3 linked regions of the Arabidopsis thaliana genome follow. The protein of the gene in region 3 interacts with the protein of the main gene of each other region in a pairwise test. Each region holds a gene or a part of one and is shown on either strand. Other genes may lie near its edges. The genes, in order: TBL36, GF14 PHI and BASS2.

Region 1 (6,482 bases), on a different chromosome or scaffold from region 3:
ATTCAATTTTACATATGTTTAGATAATCAAAAAAAAAGTTGTACAGTTTGTCTCCACCCCAAAAAAATAGTATTGCTCTGTTCCTCATGAATAAATTTCATTTCATTTTATTTTTTTGCGTCTTTTAAAGTATTTACTGCAGCGCAGTAAAAAGATTTTTCTCTGGTAAAACAAAACCAATGAATTTCTTTTATTTGGAAATAGGAAAGCTAATAGTTAGATGACAACGTACCTGCACCTATTCTGCCACATATATCGTATCTTAAACTTGCAGTTAAAGGAGATGCTAATCATAATAATTAGTTTGAAGCAGAGAGAATGCTCACTTAGGAAGGCCTGTTTCAGGATCGAGAAGGGCTTGAGTTTGGTCGTGAAGCACGATGGGACCTTTTCCAGGTCTAGTGCAGATAAAATAACTGACTTCTCCTTTTTGATCCTGAGATCCAATGTTGTCTTTAATTTCAGGTGGAGGTTGCAGATTCTCTACACCACTTGCTCCATCTAATCCTGCTTCTTTTAGAATTGAATTATCGCCCACTACGTAACTGGTAAATAAAGAAACCAAAATCATTACAAACAGCTTTTTAGTCAATTTTAAAACTCATAGAAAACCGCAGTTAAACGGATCACACATTGTTCTGTGTCTCACCTCTTCATATCAGTGTCTGACTTAGGGGGAAAATAGTACAGAAGCCCCTGGAGCAATTGGACTGCGACCTTTCTGTTGCGTGCAATCAGTACAGCATTTGGACCAGCATCAAATGTGTAAGCAACCTGTACAGATTTACATTTTGAGTTATTAGTTGTTTTCAAAAGGTTGAGTCAAGACACTAGAACTTTACCTGTGGTGTCCCTTCAGAACGGTTCCACTTTTCAACTAAGCTAATTATTCTGGAAAAGCAGATAACAGTTTGATATATTAGAATAAATAAGGGTTTGATAACAAATAAACTGAAGCAGCATATAGAAATATGTCAAAATAGAGAATACCTGTGTGAAGTGTCATTCATGTAGAATATGGGTGGAGATGTATCCAGACAAACAGCATGAAACTGATTACTATCTGTACATGTCAATTGTGTAAACGATGCAAAGTCTCGATTTTTTATAGCTTCCTCCATTTGCAAAATCCGTTTTGGCACAACTTCCTATAGATAGAGAAAAAACAAAGGATGAAGTTTAATAGGTAATACAGAAGTTCATTAAACATCAAGAACAGAACGTACTTTTGCTCTATGCTGTAAAAGCAAACTTGTCTCAACACTTTCACGCATTCCGGAGGTACTGCTCGTTTCCTTCTGCCGTGAACTCACCTGTTATAAAAAGTTTGAATGAAGGCACTAAATTTTAACAGATTTCTGACCATTCGAACTTGTCCATAATGCTATATTCACACGTTGAAATAGAGCAACTCAAAATCTTGTCGTGGAAATACTTATTTATATATCTCGTTCAATCAAATAGTATGACGACAGTAAAAGTAACATATGGTTAATTTGAAAAACAGCATGATCTGGAAGATGGGAGAGTCGGAGTAATCCTGCCAAAAAGTCACAATATTTTTTAAAAGAGCCATACCACAGCAATGATGATAACAAGATCATCCCAATGCTTCTCATCTGCCAGTTGAACTGCAACGCTGTCACTTCCATCTTCTTTGCTTCCCATTGTCCACTTGACAAATCCACCAAATAAACTCCGGCAAGCACTTCCTGAACCTTGCCTACATGAGCAAACAGAAATCAAACCATGAATATCAGTACCATTTAATTCCTAGAGGAGTGTCAGATTTCACTTCACTATCACAACTCATGCATTAGTAGATGACTATACATAAATCAAAGCATTGATATATAGTGCAAGGAAGTCCACTACATAGGTACCTGGCTATTGCAGAAAGATGGCTTGGATCTTCATCTACATTCATCAACTTTGCAAGAGAAAAAACTGTAGGCAAAAAAAACAGTTTGACATAAACTACAAGCCATTCTCAAGCTCATAATCATCAACAGAGAGAAAAAGCAGAATACCTAGACAAGCAAATCCAGCAGCTGAAGATGCTAAGCCAGCAGCAGTAGGGAAGTTATTATGAGAAGCAATATGTAGATTCAATTTCTCCCAATCTTTCTTCCTTATCTTGATCCCCTTTTCCATGTCTTCAACATCACCAGCACGACCTCGTATTTCCCTCAAACAATTTTGGTACCTACTTCCAGAAAGAGATATTTCCTACACTAACATGAAACAACAACAACAACAAAAATCTTTGTAATTCGATAATTGGAATCTCAGCAAAAGGAGAGAGATCGTGATGGGAAATGAAGCGAGTGTACCTTGCCATTGAGCCACATTCGATCCCGATCAAAAGCAGGACTAACGGCAACAGTGGTGACTGTGCAGAGATGATCAGGATCAAGAGTTACGCTAATGCTATCGTTAACGGGGAGAATCCGAACCTCATCTCTCTTTCCCCAATACTTAATCACCGCAATGTTCGTCGGAGTTTGCGCCGTCACCATGAACACCCATTTCTCCGTCGCCATGTGAATCTCCAAAAGAGATCTGCAGCTTCAAAGTAGTTGAAAATGAAAGCGACGGAGAATACGACAGAATAATGATGACTCATTGCCTTTACAATTTTAAAAATATTATTTTATTCAAAAATTGAGAACTTCACTAACTGTAAAACTCTAATCAAATGGTTATTGCCATTTTGATGAAAACACCAAAACTTAACCTAAAACGTTTTAGGAAAAAAATTGAGTTAGGTAAGAAATAACCAAAACACGAAAATCATTGTGATGCATGAACTTTATGCTTAAAGGCCTTTGAGTTGTCTTGTCTTTGATATTGGGATATTTGTTAGCTGGGAAAGGATATGTAATATATAAACCACTGATTCATATAAGTAACACCATTGTTCATGAGTAAAAACAGACTCTTATTATAGCTCATACAGCATTGGTTAAGATAATTGAAGAAAGCATCTCATTCCAAATATCCGGGACACCGGGCAAGCACCAATGACTGCAATCTGATGAAGGTCCAGCGATACGATGGTGCTTCTCTTCCTCGTGCATTGCTCTCTTGAACACCGAAGGATGACCGTCTCTTCTATACGCAGACATTGTTGTGATATCGTATAAATACACTCGGTATTTCATTGTCCTTAGCACTTTGTTCAACACTCTTGACTGTTGAGGCACGTGGGGTTTGGTGGAAGAAGATAAAGAAGGCAAGGGATGTTTCTGGTTGTAGCACATCTGACCACTCTCTCTGCCAAGAATTTATGTACATGAATTAATGGTGTCCATTTTGTATATATGTTGAGATTAAGAGGAGAATATAAGAAAAAACCTCGGTGAGACAGTGCGGAAAATGACTTTTGTTTTGGATGGATCAAGATTTATCTCAACCCATTTAGCCCATGTGGTTAGTCCTCTCTCATAAGCAACCATTGGGTCCATAGCTTTGAAGATCTTATTCCCATCCATGTAATAATCCCACCTAAAACATCAATAGCTTGCGTTACTGTCACAAATCCCAAATCTGATGTAAAATGAGACACAATAACAAATACAATGAACATAGACGTCTATGAACCGTTATACACTAATCATTTGCTTTTGAAGGAAAGATGTAAGTGTTTATTCAGATGACTTACGAACTCCATCTCTGAGAGTGAGTCCACCAGTGAGCGGAATCGAATACAAGAACATCTACACCACGCCAATATCTAGCATTGTCTTCGATTGAGTCCAAATGTAACACCCTTTTACGGTCAACTCCTCTCTTGAGTTCCACAAGCAGAGGAGCCCAACAAAACTCAATTGATGTCTCAAAATCCTGTATAGTAACCAAATTTAATAGTTGCATCTACTAACCAATGATGTATATGTGATTCAAAAGGAGATTTGTGATTATTAATTACCAGAGAATGGAAAGACATCGTAGGACCATTGTAAGTGAGCTTCTTACGATGAGTGGGAAGAACAGACTGTACTAAGCAGACAAGAGATTCCCACTGGTTTCTCATCATTGAATCTCCAACCAGCATTATTCTTTTTCCTCTCATTTTCCCAAGAAATTTCAATGCGTCAAACCTAAACACCATCATGGAAAGAGCCACTATTTTGGTTAATATTAATGTCTCTTTCCCATTTTTCATTAGTCAATTTATTCATCTTGCAATTAACCATGCAAAGCCAATATAAACCAACTTTTTTACTTGATGAGACAGAAATTTTAAAAAGAAGTAATGTAAGAAGTAAGAGGAGTGTGGAGTGTGCCTTGGTAGTGAACAAGCCTTAGGGATCCATCTCCATTTCTGGTAATAAGAGTCGGGTCTTCCATTTCTTTGGCAACTTAGTGCAGAACTCAGATATGGACAGCTTGAATCATAGAGCGGATACGTTTCATCGAACGTCCATTTCCCCACCGAGTAATCACACCTCTCCTCTCTTCTTTCACGCCTCGTCTGCAAGGCGTTGAGTGGATCATCGTCCCCTACTAGCCATAACTCATCAAACTGAGACAAAACTACTTTGCCAAGGATGAGACACAAAGATAAGAACAAGACTCGAGTCTCTGAGGTAGCCATTTGACCAGGAAACTGAGCAGTGTGGGCTTGGAGAAAGAAATAATATAAAGAAGATGGGCAACAAAAAGTGGATAAAGTGAAAAAGGGCGTTAATTACGGAAAGTGGTGGTAATTAGTAATTAGACTTATGCTTGAAATCATGTCCCGTGACTTGCGTCTCCTCTTCTCTCCATCATATCATTTTTTTATAAAAACAGATTACAGTATCCAAGGCGGGATTTGTGAGTTTGGTGGAGCGTTTTGTATATGGTTTAAAAAATCGAAATAGTTTCTCAACAAAAACAAACAGAAATAGTAGAAAACAATCCATATAAACCAGAAAAAAGAATTGCAAATCAAACACAATGGTAGGTTTTGTAAGACTAAAGAAATGTAGGTTTTGTTGTAGAGACCCAAAACTCTCCCTGCCCTCAAAAGGTCATGAACAGACCAAATTCAGGACCCAACCTTCCTTATTAATAGTTTTAAGTTAACCCAAATATGTAAAAAAGTATTAATGAAACGAAACCAAGACATGGCAACACCTTCTTCAGCTTTTAGTATCCTTCATGCTTTATCAAACTCACACCATCCCCAAACAAACATAACACAAAACAAACACTATGCTCTTTGGTTAGCTTCTGTCCCAAACAGATGTCATCTTTAGTATGTCAGTCGAGATTAAGATAATCCTTTAGAAAATCCATTTTTCTTGATCATCTGAAGAAGATTCATCTAACCATGATTGGTGGATGTGCATCCACGTCAGCCTTTGCTTTTCCTCCTTTCAATTTTAACCCATTTTCAGTTATTTTTTTCCAATATTATTTAACCAATCTAATCGTTTGAAATCTTAAAAGGATCATAAATCAAGGTTTACCTTATAACTCAGTAAGACTTTTGTTGAACAAGACCGTACTTTTCCCTCTGTAAACACGAGCTAGACATTAGAACATGGAAGCAAACTTCTACAGTATACCCTTATGATGAGAAATCAAACAAATCAGTTGATCGTATTTTCTGCTAAATCATTTCCTAGCTCGATAAGTCACAAGTATAAGCCATGTAATTGAAGAACAAGATTTCTTACCAGATAACTCATGCTTTACAAATTTTGCAAGCCATGTATCTGAACTGATATGAGAAGACGTAACATTATCCAACCAAATGCGAAACTTCTTTTCCTTCCCATCACCGTATAAATTTTCCATCTCATCTATCCATTCATGTATCGGTTTCTCCACTCCAGACGGATGAACAAAAATACCAAGTGGACTCTGAAACATTGCAAAAGCATAACAATTACGTCAACTAATAAGTCTACACAACACAAGCAATCAAGAACATCTTCAAAATTATCAATTTGAGCACTTGAATTTCCATTACGTTAGATGCTAGAGAGCTTTTTTTTGTCAAATAAACACACTTACAGAGAGCGATTTCAAATTCTGCAAGTACTTGTCAGACTTTTCCACCTCTCCACAACGCCATCTCTCATAAAACAAATAAAACTGAACAACCTCATGAGCAGGATTCAAACTTTCCCCATGGAAATTTTCAGTGTCCATAACATCTCTAGGAGAGACATTTGGTCCCAAATTAAACCTCTGAATAGCTTCTATCATACCAGCTCCACACCTCTCAGACGCATGAAATATTTTTGGGTTGTCCTTTGCATTTTCTTCATACCATTGCAATAATTCTTCATGCGAATTGCTAACCTTAAACAGTAAAAATATAAGCACAATCACTCACGCGTAGTCAAGTATGATCGAACCTAAAAAAAAGTAGTTGGGAACTAACCATTACGCCATATACGTCAGAAATGTTGAAAAGCTCAGCATCATTTCCAGAGTCACCACAAACAAGTGTGTTAGAAGGCTGCTTGCCTTCAATATCCAAC
Region 2 (6,482 bases), on a different chromosome or scaffold from region 3:
GTTGTTTAGCTAATTAATAGACTCATTAACAGACACATAACAACATCTAATTGTTCCGTTTAGCTAGTTTACGATGTGGCTCAATTGGCTTTGTCAACAAAAATTTGCGATTAAATTAAAAGTCAACAAAAAATTGAGCATTTTAATTATGAGGTACGTAGACTATGCTTTAAATTAACAAAAATTGATAATTGATCATTTTTTTTGTCAAAGATAATTGATGATTTAAATGACATTTTCTCCTATTATTAATATATATATATAGGATTTGTTTTGAGATAAAATTTTGAATTCAAAAAAAAAGGAACAAGGAAAGTAAAAAAAAAACAACTAATCAATGGAATCTTTAGCCAAAGTAACAGCTTTATTTGTCAAAAATCACAAGTAAACTAAAAAAAGGTAGAAAAACCATTATAACAAGAATGTAAAGAATAATAGTGGAAAGAAATCTCGTAAAATTTCTTCAAGTCAACCTTACCAAGTCTTGCTTATTGGCGGATCTAGACGGTATTCAAATTAGGGACACAATCATAAAAATTTGATATTAAAAATGTTATTGCAAATAAATAATTTACATTAATGTTCAATCCATGACAGCTATCTATGGTTACTTGAGATGGCTCGTTGAAGTTTACATCTTATGAGCTTAAGATCTTCTGTCAAAAAAATTGTTGTCTGGCATATTTTCATGTGCCATTCATTTAGGAAGATCACAAACTTATTTGGGTTCTACATGGATCTATAAACTCATTTCAAATTATTCTAGAGTAACCCGCGGACGTGAAAACGTAGAGATCGAATGTTAGGTTTTCACATGACGCCTAAACGACAGTTTCGACCGCCTAAGATTATATATGCTTCGTTTTAATATTTTTTTCCAAATTTTAATTACTCAAATTCAAATTTGTTAAATTTTGTCTTCATATATATAGTTTAATGTTCAAATGTTGTTTGATATGAATTAATGTACGTTTTATCTATTTTTTGTTTTGTAAATTTAAGATTTTTATTTTTTAATTTATGTTTTAAATAACTTTTACATATAATAACATATTTATAATATTTTATACTATAAACGCTTTAACCGCCTAAAACTGTTTAGACCCGATGAAGCGTTGCATTGGGTTACCGCCCAATTAACGCCTAACGTTTTCTTGAACATTAATCTCTACCTTACTATGAGTGATGCTATCAATTAATCAGCTTTTGAGAGGTATTGACCTCGTTCATGTTAACTTTTGGTTGAGGTCTGCAAAACAATAACTGGTGAACGAGGTTGATACAAACTTTGGTAAGTCCCATTTGATTCAAACCTATATGCCCAACACTTGTTATTCCTACGCAAATCTCATCGAAATTCACGCAAATTTTGAGGTCAGTGTTTCCTGTAATAATCTGTATCAGTATTAGCAAGCGCTCATTCTCAAACAGCGTAAATTGTGTGTGCATAACCTAAGCAAACTCAGAAAACACAATTGCAAACGCAGTCACATGTATACAAAAACGCATAACCAGGTGAATGGCAAATCATTAATAAGAGAGAAAACTGAGTTTCAAGTACAAGGCATAAGCCGGGAAATGCAATCAATCAAGAGAAGAAGTAAAACAAAACAGAAATCCAGTAGCATCCACGATTGAGAAAAGCAAACAAAGGACAAGAATTAGACGGCCTTAGAAGCTTCGGGGATAGCAAAGGAAAGATTAGAAAATAAACACCAAGCAGAAACATAATTATAATTGCATAACTTAAGAATACTGAAAAAAGAAACCACAAACTTAGATCTCCTTCTGTTCTTCAGCAGGCTTTGGTGCTGCTGCTTCTTTAATCTCCTCCGGACTTTCGTCCTGATTAATCGTCGAAATTAACACAACAGAATCAGAGATCAAGACCAAGAAGCTCATGAGAGTATTATCATACATAATGCAAAACTAAACCATCTGATTCAAAGCTTATGAACAATGTGTGTGCACAATTCCAGCATCATGAGCCACTAAGCCTATCTATCATATCCATTATCAGCAATGAACTATGTTGGTGGACAATTCCAAAACTATTCTATCATAACCATTATCAGCAGTTTCGATGAAGCAAAGAACGGTTTCGTTTCGATCGTTTACCTGCATGTCAGAAGTCCAGAGAGTAAGATTGTCACGAAGAAGCTGCATGATCAAGGTACTATCCTTGTATGACTCCTCTCCAAGAGTATCTAACTCAGCAATGGCTTCATCAAACGCCTGTTATATCTCAATATCAATACACATAGAGTAGTACCAACACAATGACTCAAATCCCAAATAGATCAGAAACTTTCTCATCACCTGCTTAGCGAGATTACAAGCACGATCTGGAGAATTAAGAATCTCATAGTAAAACACAGAGAAATTCAAAGCCAAACCAAGACGAATCGGATGCGTTGGAGCCAATTCAGCATTAGCAATATCCTACAAACAAACAAAAGAAACACAGATTCACACAAATCATGATTTAACCTAGAAATGAGATCCAACAAAATTCCAGATCGGAGAATAAACCTGAGCAGCTTTGTAAGCGGTGAGAGTATGTTCAGCAGCATCTTTCCTCTCTTGACCAGTCTTAAACTCAGCCAAATACCTATGATAATCTCCCTTCATCTTAAGGTAAAAAACCTTAGAATCTCCATTAGCAGAAGCAGGAACAAGTCTAGTATCAAGAAGCTTAAGAATACCGTCACAGATTTTCGATAACTCAGATTCGATCTTGCTTCTGTAATCACGGATCGTGGTCACATGGTCATCGTTACCACGACTCTCTTCTTTTTGTTCAATGGAAGAGATGATTCTCCAGGAAGCACGACGAGCGCCGATTACGTTTTTGTAAGCGACGGAGAGGAGATTACGTTCTTCGACGGTGAGTTCGTCTTTGTCAACGGCTTCAGCGACTTTTTCCATGAATTCAACCATTTCTTCGTAACGTTCCGCTTGCTCTGCGAGCTTTGCGAGGTACACGAACTCTTCCCTCGCCGAGGATGATGCTGGTGGTGCCGCCATTAGAGATCGGTGATGGATGGATTCAGATCTGAGAGAGATTGAGAGAGATTTTTTTTTTTGTTCTGTTTTCGAATTTCAATTTTTTTTTTGTTGGGGTTTAAAAGATAGTTTTGTTTTTTTTGGTTTTTGTTTGAGTGGGGAGCGACGATTGCGAAAGGAGATGGAAGGAGGACCGTTGGATTAAATTTTGTACACGGGAATTTTCTGATACTTTTTGGGTCGGTTTTTAGGTCATCTCCAACAGCAGTTTTTTAATGAGTATCTGGAGATTAAAAAAATAAAAAGTAATGAAAAAGGTGGAGAAAGAAAGAGAAACGTTTCTCATATGAGAAACTATGAGAAACCCAACTCAACCCCTTGTTATTTATGATTGGTCAGATTTTGTCTTTATAATATAAAATTTAAATAAATAATATATTTATTATTAACTGATTAAAAAAATAGAATTGAGAAACTCATACTGTATCTGTGCGTTGGAGATGCCCTTAGTTTATTTTTATGTGGAAAAAGTTACTTTGTTGTATTTTGATTCCTTAATGGACCTTTTACGTCCATATTGGCATTTTGTAATTTCTGTTGATTGAGCAATTTTTTTTTTAAGTTGAATTTTGAAATTGTTTTGTTAAAAAAGAAAGAAATTGTTAGGTTATTAATTATTATATATTGTATAAAAAATATCTTTAGAACGTTTTATTTTAAAATTAGTGCCAATTTATTTTATGCAATTTATTTTATTTTTCAAAAAAAAAAACTAAATATATATAGACTGTTTAACCTATTAATTTAAAAGAAGTTTTACTTAATGATGTAATAAATAAAATTTTCACAAGACTTATTCTAATGGAAGAAACTTCAAACAATTCTTTTAAAGAGATATGTTCTTAGGAAATAAAAAAATTAGTTGATCAATGATATTTAGTTTAGTATTTGATTTGTTGGAATTAGATTGTACATATAAACTTATTATTACAGATTTTTTTTGTTAAAGTTATGTTAGCTTAATTGTACAAAAATATCACAAGCAGATGCTTGATAACAAGAAGAGAGAGCACATGCCTACATTGGCTCCTCCAAGCAGATGCTTGATAACAACAATAATGTGGACAGTTTGGATGACGAATGAAGTGGATGAGAATGAGTTTGATAACAAAGATCAAGATGAAGTTGTTCATGAAGAGAAGAAAAGTGGGCAGAAAGAAGAACTTCCTTCCAATATTTCCGATCCAGTAAATTGGGATGACATGAATATGAGATTCAGAGATTTATTAGTTGAAAAGGGTCTAGCGACAAGGTTATCAACTAATTACCGGTTTCGTAAAGATAGTATTGGTAGGCATTTTTCTCAAACATTTTACATAAGAGAAATGAGGAATGGGGAGAAACAAGATAGAAGATGGTTGATTTACTCAAAAGCATTAGATTAAAGTCTTTTGTTTTTGTTGTAAGTTGTTGAGACATGACAAAAAAGGTGGTTACTTGGCAACTAGCGGGTACAATGATTGGAGAAATCTTTCAAAGCGACTCAAAGAACACAAAGGCAGCCATGATCACATTACTTGTATGACTCGTCGAGCTGAGTTAGAGTCTAGACTACAGAAAAATAAAACGATTGATAAGCATGCCCAAGAAGCAATAAACAAAGATAATATTCATTGGAGGGAAGTACTCCTAAGGATCATTGCATTGGTGAAAACTCACGCTAAAAATAATTTAGCATTTCGTGGAAAAAATGAAAAGGTTGGCCAAGACAGAAATGGGAATTTTTTGAGTTTTATTGAAATGATTGCAGAATTTGATGTCGTAATGAGAGAGCATATCAGAAGAATTGGTGCAGCTGAGATATATTCTCATTATTTAAGTCACAAGATTCAAAATGAGCTAATAGGTATCTTGACCGGTGAGATTAGACTTATGATCATGAAGACAATACATGCTTCAAAGTACTGTTCCATAATTCTTGATTGTACTCCGGATATTAGTCATAAAGAACAGATGACTATGATCATTCGATGTGTGAATATTTCTTCAACGTTAACGAAGGTTGAAGAGTTTTATTTGACATTTTTGGAAGTGAAAGATAAATCAAGTGAAGGGTTATTCTCTAAGATTAAAGAAGCATTAGTTGATATGGAGTTAGAGATTGATGATGTGAGAGGACAAGGTTATGACAACGAATCTAATATGAAAGGAAAAAACAAAGGAGTACAAAGAAGATTGTTGGAAATTAATCCAAGAGCATTCTACACACCATGTGGTTTTCATAGCCTCAACCTTGTGCTTTGCGATATAACATCTTCTTCGACAAAGGCAATGTCTTTTTTTGGGAGTTTACAGCGAGTATACTGTTTGTTTGTATCTTCAACAAACAGGTGGGATATATTTAAAGAGATGGTAAAAGGTCCAACACTTAAATCTTCATCTCAAATTTGTTGAGAGAGTCATCTCGAAGGTGTCAAAGCCATACGTTTTCAAACTCTTGAAATCAGAGATGCTTTACTTTATTTGGCAGAAAAGACCGACGATCCAAAAACACGAAGTGATGTGAATGCCTTGCAGAGAGTGAAACACATGGTATTGGAGTGTTTGAGATTCTTTTTGGTATGATTCTTTGGTATGATCTTCTAGCTGTTGTCAACCGAGTGAGCAAGACTTTACAATCGGCTGACATTGATATTGATGTTGCTATTATCGAACTAAAAGGACTCGTTTCATATCTTCAAAAATATAGAGAGACAAGATTTGAGATTGAAAGTTTGAGGTTGTATGACTTGCAGAGGATATGGATATAGAAGCTGAATTTCTTGTAAAGAAGAAGAGGACCATTCGAAGAAAGAAGCATTTTGATGAAGTTTCAGAAAAAGGAGATGAGAATATGGACTTGTCACCAGAGGAGGATTTCAGAATTAATTACTTCTTCACACTCATAGATCAAGCTCTAGTTTCTCTTTAGTCAAGATTTGAGCAATTCCAAAGGTACGAACAAACTTTTGGATTTCTGTTTGATTTAAAGAAATTGACATCTGCAAGTGATGAAAGTTTAATGGCATCTTGTGTGCACCTTGAATCATCCCTCAAGCATGGTGAGCATTCTGATATAGATGGCTAGATTTGTTTATGGAAATAAAAGTTCTACGAGAAGTATTACCAAATGAAGTTAAGAAACCTATTGAAGTGCTTGATTTTTTGAAAAGAATGGGGGGTTGTTATCCAAACACATGGATTTCTTATGGGATATTATTGACCATTCCAGTGTCAGTTGTTTCCGTCGAAAGAAGTTTTTCTAAGCTGAAGTTGATCAAGAATTATTTGCGGTCTAAAATGTCATAAGATAGATTGAATGGGTTAGCTATATTATCAATTGAGAGAGCAATGCTTGAAAATATCAACTATGCGACTGTGATGGATGATTTTGCAGGACAAAAATTCAAGAAGGATCATATTTACTAAGTAGAAAT
Region 3 (6,482 bases):
ATTAATTGAGAAATAAAAAAAAGGTTGACCACAAAGTTGTCATCATGCACGCCCTTGTTTCTATGTCTCTTAAACACATTTTGTTTCATGTTTTTCAACACAAATTTTGTAATGTTTACTAACATTACAACAAAACAATCACATCGTTTGGAGAAGATGCAAACCGCCTTTCCTACTTCATTTACTCTTTGAAGTCATCCTTGTCATCTGCCGGAATCGGTAGGTTTCTCCAGAACACGGCCAGGCCGCTCCCGCCAAGCTGCAGAATGCCATTGAACATAATTAAACTTAAGGAATTTGCATGTGAACTTTAGTGAAATGGCTATGAAAACTTACCGCCATACAGACAACACTGACTGCAGAAGGAACAGCAACTAGAGGGTTTGTGAAATGCTTTTGTGCAAGCAAGAACCCGAGCGCTGAACTCTGCGGTTTGCAAAGTACACAGATTTTCAAAAAGAAGCCTTAGTAAAGCAAACGGCAATGTATATCTACGGTATAGGAGAAAGTAACTTACTTGCATTCCACATTCTATAGAAATGGTACGCGAAGTGGACTCGCCGAAAGAAAACTTTGAAATCCAATAGCCAATAGCAAAGGCTGCAGCATGAAGGAGTGCCACCGGGAGTATAAGTTGAGCTCCTTGGGTTTTCAAAACATCTGCAACTTGTCCAATCTTTTCAGAAGAGATAAGGTAGTAATCAATACCAATTCCAGTCTCAAAATTCAATAAAAAAAATATATATATCTGGATATATGAACTTACAGGGCTGGCACAGAGCAGAGTAGTCAGAATGACTCCGATTAGAGGCGTCACTGTTATGATCTTAGACGTAAATTTAGGAAAGAACTCATTTGCCAGAACTGCACACAATGCAGAAAAAGACATTAGTCCCTAAGGATATATAAGCACAAATTCATTTTTCCGGAAACACGTAGCACCATACTTACCTCCAATTATGGTAGGAACCAACACTACTTGGAACGTACTAAGAGCAAGTCCCTGACGTAAAAAAATGGATCCATAAGCTTTCGTTGTGGAGGGCTGCAACTATATTCTAATAGAGTTCTTGCGCTTCATTCTACTTTAAATCATTCAATAACTTTTACTGAACCATGATTATTCATATTTTAGCTAAGTGAAATGTATCTTATATTTCATACATAAAAAGAAATGTATCTTATCAATGCAATTTTGAATGAAACGATTCAAAATAGTTATAGAGAAAACTCACAGCAGCGTCAACGGGAACAAGCTGACCAGCAAGAAGCTTAGTAAGAAGAGGAGTCATTATAATAGCCCCAATGGTTGAACACCTAATAAATTAAAGAACAGATAATGTATATGAAATCTGACCAATAAAATTAAAGAACGAAAAGAGAAAGAAGTGAAAATAGAAGGATTACGTTGTCATGAGTACAGAGAGCGCTACATTCCCCTTGGAAATGTAAGTAGCAACGTTTGACGCCTGTCCTCCAGGGCAGCATGAGACTAGGATAAGGCCAGTCGCAAGAGGTGCCGAAAGCTTAAGAGTCTAAAATAAAACACACAGAAAAAGTTTGTATTAGTTGGCTGCTCAACAATTAATGTTAACCAAATGTAGTGTTTCCAAATGCACATAGCATATGTCCATATCAATCCTCTCTACAAGAGAAATCCCTCAAGGAGTAAGTGAGTATGCCAGGAATTGTTTCTACAGTAACTAGAAAGCAAATATTTGATTCAAACGTTTCAAGAAAAAGTGATGTTTGGACATGCAACGACTCTTGGATCTAAGTTAATCAAAGAAAGAATATTCCAATCAACATTTGATTTGGCTAAAGCGTATACAGCCCATAGAAGTAAAAACGGACGAAGAGAACCAATATCTTAAACAAAATAGAATATTGCATAAGCATCCATTTCAGAGAAGCAAATAGAAGTAAATGTGATAGACATTAGTGGAAACATACCATTGCAATGAGAAAACCTAGAATTGGCTTGATCATATATTGAGCAAGAAAACCAACACCCACCTGCAGGAGAAAGACTCTAAACGTTAAACAGGTACTGTATCTAACAGATAGAAAAAACACACCAGTGTTCATTGGCTCTCACCGTCCATGGATTACGTAAACATCTTCTGAAATCTTCAAACGTAAGAGTCAAACCCATGGAAAGCATAAGAAATCCAAGACCTAGAGTAAAGAGATCTGTTTCCAACCATGTAACCTACAAAACTTAAATCTATAAGCCCCAAAAACATAGATTGCTACAGTAAATAAACAATAACAAAGAAGCATAAAAAGCATACCAAGGATGGCTTGAAGATGCCAACAAGTGTTCCCAAAATAACCTGCACAACAAACAAAAACCACATTGCTCCATATCAGTTATCAAACTCACAAAAAGTTTCAAACTTCATCAAAGAAAGGTATAGCATAAGTACCCAAAGTGGAAAAAGGGTTGTCAAAAGCTCAATAATCTTCTCATACTGACTAAGTTCCTTAGGAGTACTCTCAGGTAAGTCACCTGACACACCAGCAGCAGCTTTGCAAACAACCCTCCTGTAAAAATTACAATTTTTAATAAACCCAAATCCTTAAACTTGTTTACACATTCACCAAATTACAATACCTGGAGGAAGTTGCTTCAAGAGCAAAGACAGGGCTAATAGGTTTACTATTCTGAATCCTCAAACTTATCCCAGAGTTACTAACAGAAACTAACTTGGGAAAATCTGAAGAAAAATATATGATTCAGCAAATTGACTCTTAGAAATCTGAAACCAGAGAAGTATAAAGGATAGATACCTAAGTGAGTTTGAGTTCTGGTTGTAGAAGGAACCCACGAGGTGTTGATTCTGCATTGACTTAATCTGCCATCTGTTGGTAAGATTCTGGAAATGGAAGCCATGTTTTGATCAAAAGGGTTTTAGGATGTTGGTGAATCAGAGAAGATGAGTTAGTGACATCTCCAAATGAGGAGGAGACAAAGGGTTTTGTGGAGTGTTGTGAAAGAGAGGAGAGCCACACATTCTTCATCTGCCCCTTTCATCAACAATCCTATCTGGAAAATATCTACTTAACATTTTTGGATCGATTCTACTACAACTACGTCGATGTGTGTGTGTTTTTTTTTTTTTTTCCTGTCGTCATTTCCGATGTGTTTTCGAACAGAACCTAATTGAGATTTGAGTGTTCGGTTAACCAGTCGATTAATAGAAGTGGTCCGATCGGTAACTTTTCCTATTGGTTAGGTACGGTTAATCGAACAATCTTTTAACCATTTTTTCTAATTTTTTAAACTAATATAAACAAATCATATCCAATTTTATAAACTAATACCAAAATTCTTTAAAATTGCTATACAAACCAAATTTTTGTATGGATTTGAGACACATTACCGAACTGAGTTAACTGATAACTGAACCGATCCAAACCGAATTTTTGTTCGGTTAAATTTGGCAGTCTTATCTCCTAACTAGATACTCGAAAAACCAATTATCCAAACCGAACGGTTCGGTTCGCTCAAAAGTCGTATGCCTAAGTTTCACATGTATTAATCAATCATATCTATTGAATTTTTTTTGTTTACAGTCTGATTGTATTGTTAAACAAGATTGTATATTTTTATACATTTTAGTTTATATATGGATAAGATGCACATATTCACTATGGTTCATACCACAGAAATTCTATATTTGAAAACTGTGCTGCAAAAACATATTTATTGATGTTGGAAAAGTCAATCAAGATGTAGAAATATGCTGAAAATATGGTCTATTTCCACCAAATGATTTGCCTCTATTTTTACTGTGAAAATAGCTTTATTAGTTAGATAAACTCATAAAATCAAGACAATCACATGATGAAGTATTGATTTAACACATTTTGAAACACTACACGTTAATTTATTCGACTGAACAAATACAAAGTTTTCATTAAATGTGAGTGCTGAGTTCTGTGACAGTTTGTTTGAATTTTCTGGATAATGATTAGCACCATGCCCCAGCCAAGAAACCCCCATACTTTGTTTGTAACCATTAATATTAATATTTTGGTTGGCGACAGACAAATCTTTGGCCGACGAAGCTGATTTTCACTCTTTCACTGCCAAATTTTGTATGTTTCATCGACATTTTTACATTTGAAAATCTTATGTTTTTGGTTTTGTTGGGGGATATGCATAAATTTCTTAAGAGATAAATAATAAGTAGAATCGTCGAGAGATGTATAATCTAGTTTATGTTTCTTGGCCTCTACTCTACTTTTCTTTCTTTGCATTCTCTTTAAATTCCCATTCTTCGTTTATTTAAAGATGCATGTTCGAATCTTCTCTACTTCTACAAACTAAATGGAATGACATAAGGTTATGTCTCTCTATGAATATTGTTGGATATAAACAAGTTGAACTACAATGATTCAACGCAGGTTGTTCAACACTCACTCTCTCAGCTTTGGCATCTTAAGACACTTTTACGATATATCCACTCCTAGTTTTTAGGAAAAGAACAAGACTGTCACATCTTTCAAAAGTCATCAACCCGCAACCAAACTTTTATTTCATTTGTCTCGTTAGATTAGATGCTTGATGAATTGAGTCTCAATACCTCCTAAAGTGAAGAAAGGTCTCGGGAGGAAACAAAATGACCTTAAGATATTAGATTTTTGGTTGGAAATTTGGAATGTTAAATTTTATTCAACAAAAAATTATCTACATAGTTTGAAAGGAGATTACAACAAGAGAGGACCAATGAAATAAAAGCATTAATAGAATGCTAGCTTAAAATTCAAAGAAATAGATCAGCTATGATCGGCCATGAAACCAAAGAGAATGGATCCGATGGCTAGTCATCAATCTCTTAATGTTAACAAAGAGTAGATCTGATTTTGATCAAAACAGGCCAGACCCGTACTTCGTCATCGTATATCATTATTTTTTATTTTCTGTTTCTTGAAAACAAAAAGAAAAAACTATTTGTAATCACATAACAATTTGTTGAAAGACAAAAAAAAAGAGAGAGAGAGACTAATATCTACTTGTATACTGTTATTTTTTTTTACCATTTCTATTAATTATTTTGTTATTATTCGTTAAAAACTTTATCTATCTTTTATGACCAATAATGATGCATAATTTATTCTAACCAATAACCACTAAACATGTTAGAATTGACTTCATACTTCCATTAATACATGAGTTGAAAATTCTAATCCTAAAATGAAAATGATAGAACCAGACCAGACCAAATTGACTCAAAAGATTCCAGCTCATCTTGATATTTCTAGATTACAAGTCACTCTAAATACATGTTTGAAATGTTCGAAAAAAAACATTGCTATAATTAATTAAAAAACAGTAGAAGGAAAAATTCGGTGAGAAGAAAGTAGAATGTTGCTAGAATCAATAAATTAATCAAAATAGGTACAGTATATAATAGACTAGTATCCCTCTAATCTAACGGTCCATTTATACCTGTCCCCATTACACATGTCAAAGATAATAATACAAAACAAGTATGTAAATTGTAGGTATTTATTAGTTGTGAGAATGACTATTTTATTCTACTCTTTTTCTTTTGGAAAAATCTAACGTGGACATCCGATAATCGACTTGGCTCAGATCGATTTTGAGTAAATTGTTTTAAGGGGTTTAGAATTCATATAGAACCAAAAAACATGCGGTTCGGATCGGTAGTTATTTTACGGTTTGACTATGTTCGGTTATCTCTCAGTTCGGACCGACATATAACCAAATTTTATTGGGTTCGGTTTGAATTAAATATTTGTACATAAACTATGTGGAAAAAAGAACTAAATAATTTGTTCAATCTAATGAATTAGTTTGCAAAAAATATTTACTCTAGACACATATAAGTATGTACATTCATATATTTTAGTTATTTTGAGCCTAATCATAACTAAATTTTCTGGTTTATAAATATAGTTTTGAATATTTGGATTATCTCAAACATAAATATAATTAACATTTTCTGATTTTTATGACATTGACTAATATTTTCTGATATTAAGATATTGATCTCCTTAAATTGTTTTTATCATTCTTTAAAGTTCATTATCTTGTTTGGTTCCAATTTCTTGTACATAAACCATAAATTTGAAATTTCAATTAGAAAAATAATTTCCTTTTATGAGATACAATCATACAATTGTATTTCAAGTAGTTCGAATACTCATTCCGTTTTCGGTTTAGTTCCAAGTTGTTATAAAAGATGAACTACACTATTTGGATGTTTATGATTATCTGGTTCGGTTCGGTATCTCTTAATTCGGTTATTTCGGTTTTAGTAATCCACATAAAACAGACTATAATCTCTTGCATTATATCCACATAGACCTAAATAATAAACAATTTGTTTCTTCCCGCTAAGTGATTATTAATGAGCCTCCCTTCTTCTCAACTGTTATTTCACTTTAACGTACAAAAAAAAACACACACAGAGAGAAAGAGAGAGAGAAAAGTTTCCGCATTAATGGTG

The links.
Region 1: the proteins of BASS2 (region 3) and TBL36 interact in a protein complementation assay, tested with the Arabidopsis thaliana proteins (one large-scale study listed by BioGRID).
Region 2: the proteins of BASS2 (region 3) and GF14 PHI interact in a protein complementation assay, tested with the Arabidopsis thaliana proteins (one large-scale study listed by BioGRID).

What each region holds. Positions count from the first base shown.
Region 1 is NC_003074.8:20,082,146-20,088,627, forward strand, and holds TBL36 (TRICHOME BIREFRINGENCE-LIKE 36), read right to left. Parts: upstream 4,823-6,482; 5' UTR 4,601-4,822; coding exon 4,290-4,600; intron 4,104-4,289; coding exon 3,932-4,103; intron 3,847-3,931; coding exon 3,665-3,846; intron 3,508-3,664; coding exon 3,358-3,507; intron 3,277-3,357; coding exon 2,952-3,276; 3' UTR 2,826-2,951; downstream 1-2,825. Other genes in the region: AT3G54250 (GHMP kinase family protein), read right to left, coding at 323-545, 650-774, 843-891, 991-1,148, 1,227-1,313, 1,579-1,723, 1,884-1,947, 2,031-2,229 and 1 more; AT3G54270 (sucrose-6F-phosphate phosphohydrolase family protein), read right to left, coding at 5,274-5,363, 5,460-5,506, 5,670-5,856, 6,010-6,300, 6,383-6,482. UniProt on the Arabidopsis thaliana protein: May act as a bridging protein that binds pectin and other cell wall polysaccharides. Probably involved in maintaining esterification of pectins. May be involved in the specific O-acetylation of cell wall polymers.
Region 2 is NC_003070.9:12,863,809-12,870,290, reverse strand, and holds GF14 PHI (GF14 protein phi chain), read right to left. Parts: upstream 3,166-6,482; 5' UTR 3,028-3,165; coding exon 2,533-3,027; intron 2,443-2,532; coding exon 2,320-2,442; intron 2,236-2,319; coding exon 2,119-2,235; intron 1,930-2,118; coding exon 1,777-1,929; 3' UTR 1,401-1,776; downstream 1-1,400. Other genes in the region: AT1G35150 (General transcription factor 2-related zinc finger protein), read left to right, coding at 4,053-4,318, 4,482-5,188, 5,584-5,732, 5,804-5,965, 6,038-6,133. UniProt on the Arabidopsis thaliana protein: Is associated with a DNA binding complex that binds to the G box, a well-characterized cis-acting DNA regulatory element found in plant genes.
Region 3 is NC_003071.7:11,474,975-11,481,456, forward strand, and holds the start of BASS2 (Sodium Bile acid symporter family), read right to left. Parts: upstream 3,169-6,482; 5' UTR 2,897-3,168; coding exon 2,794-2,896; intron 2,721-2,793; coding exon 2,618-2,720; intron 2,548-2,617; coding exon 2,430-2,547; intron 2,337-2,429; coding exon 2,295-2,336; intron 2,213-2,294; coding exon 2,099-2,212; intron 2,017-2,098; coding exon 1,954-2,016; intron 1,536-1,953; coding exon 1,408-1,535; intron 1,318-1,407; coding exon 1,236-1,317; intron 1,004-1,235; coding exon 952-1,003; intron 865-951; coding exon 767-864; intron 677-766; coding exon 518-676; intron 427-517; coding exon 337-426; intron 260-336; coding exon 182-259; 3' UTR 1-181.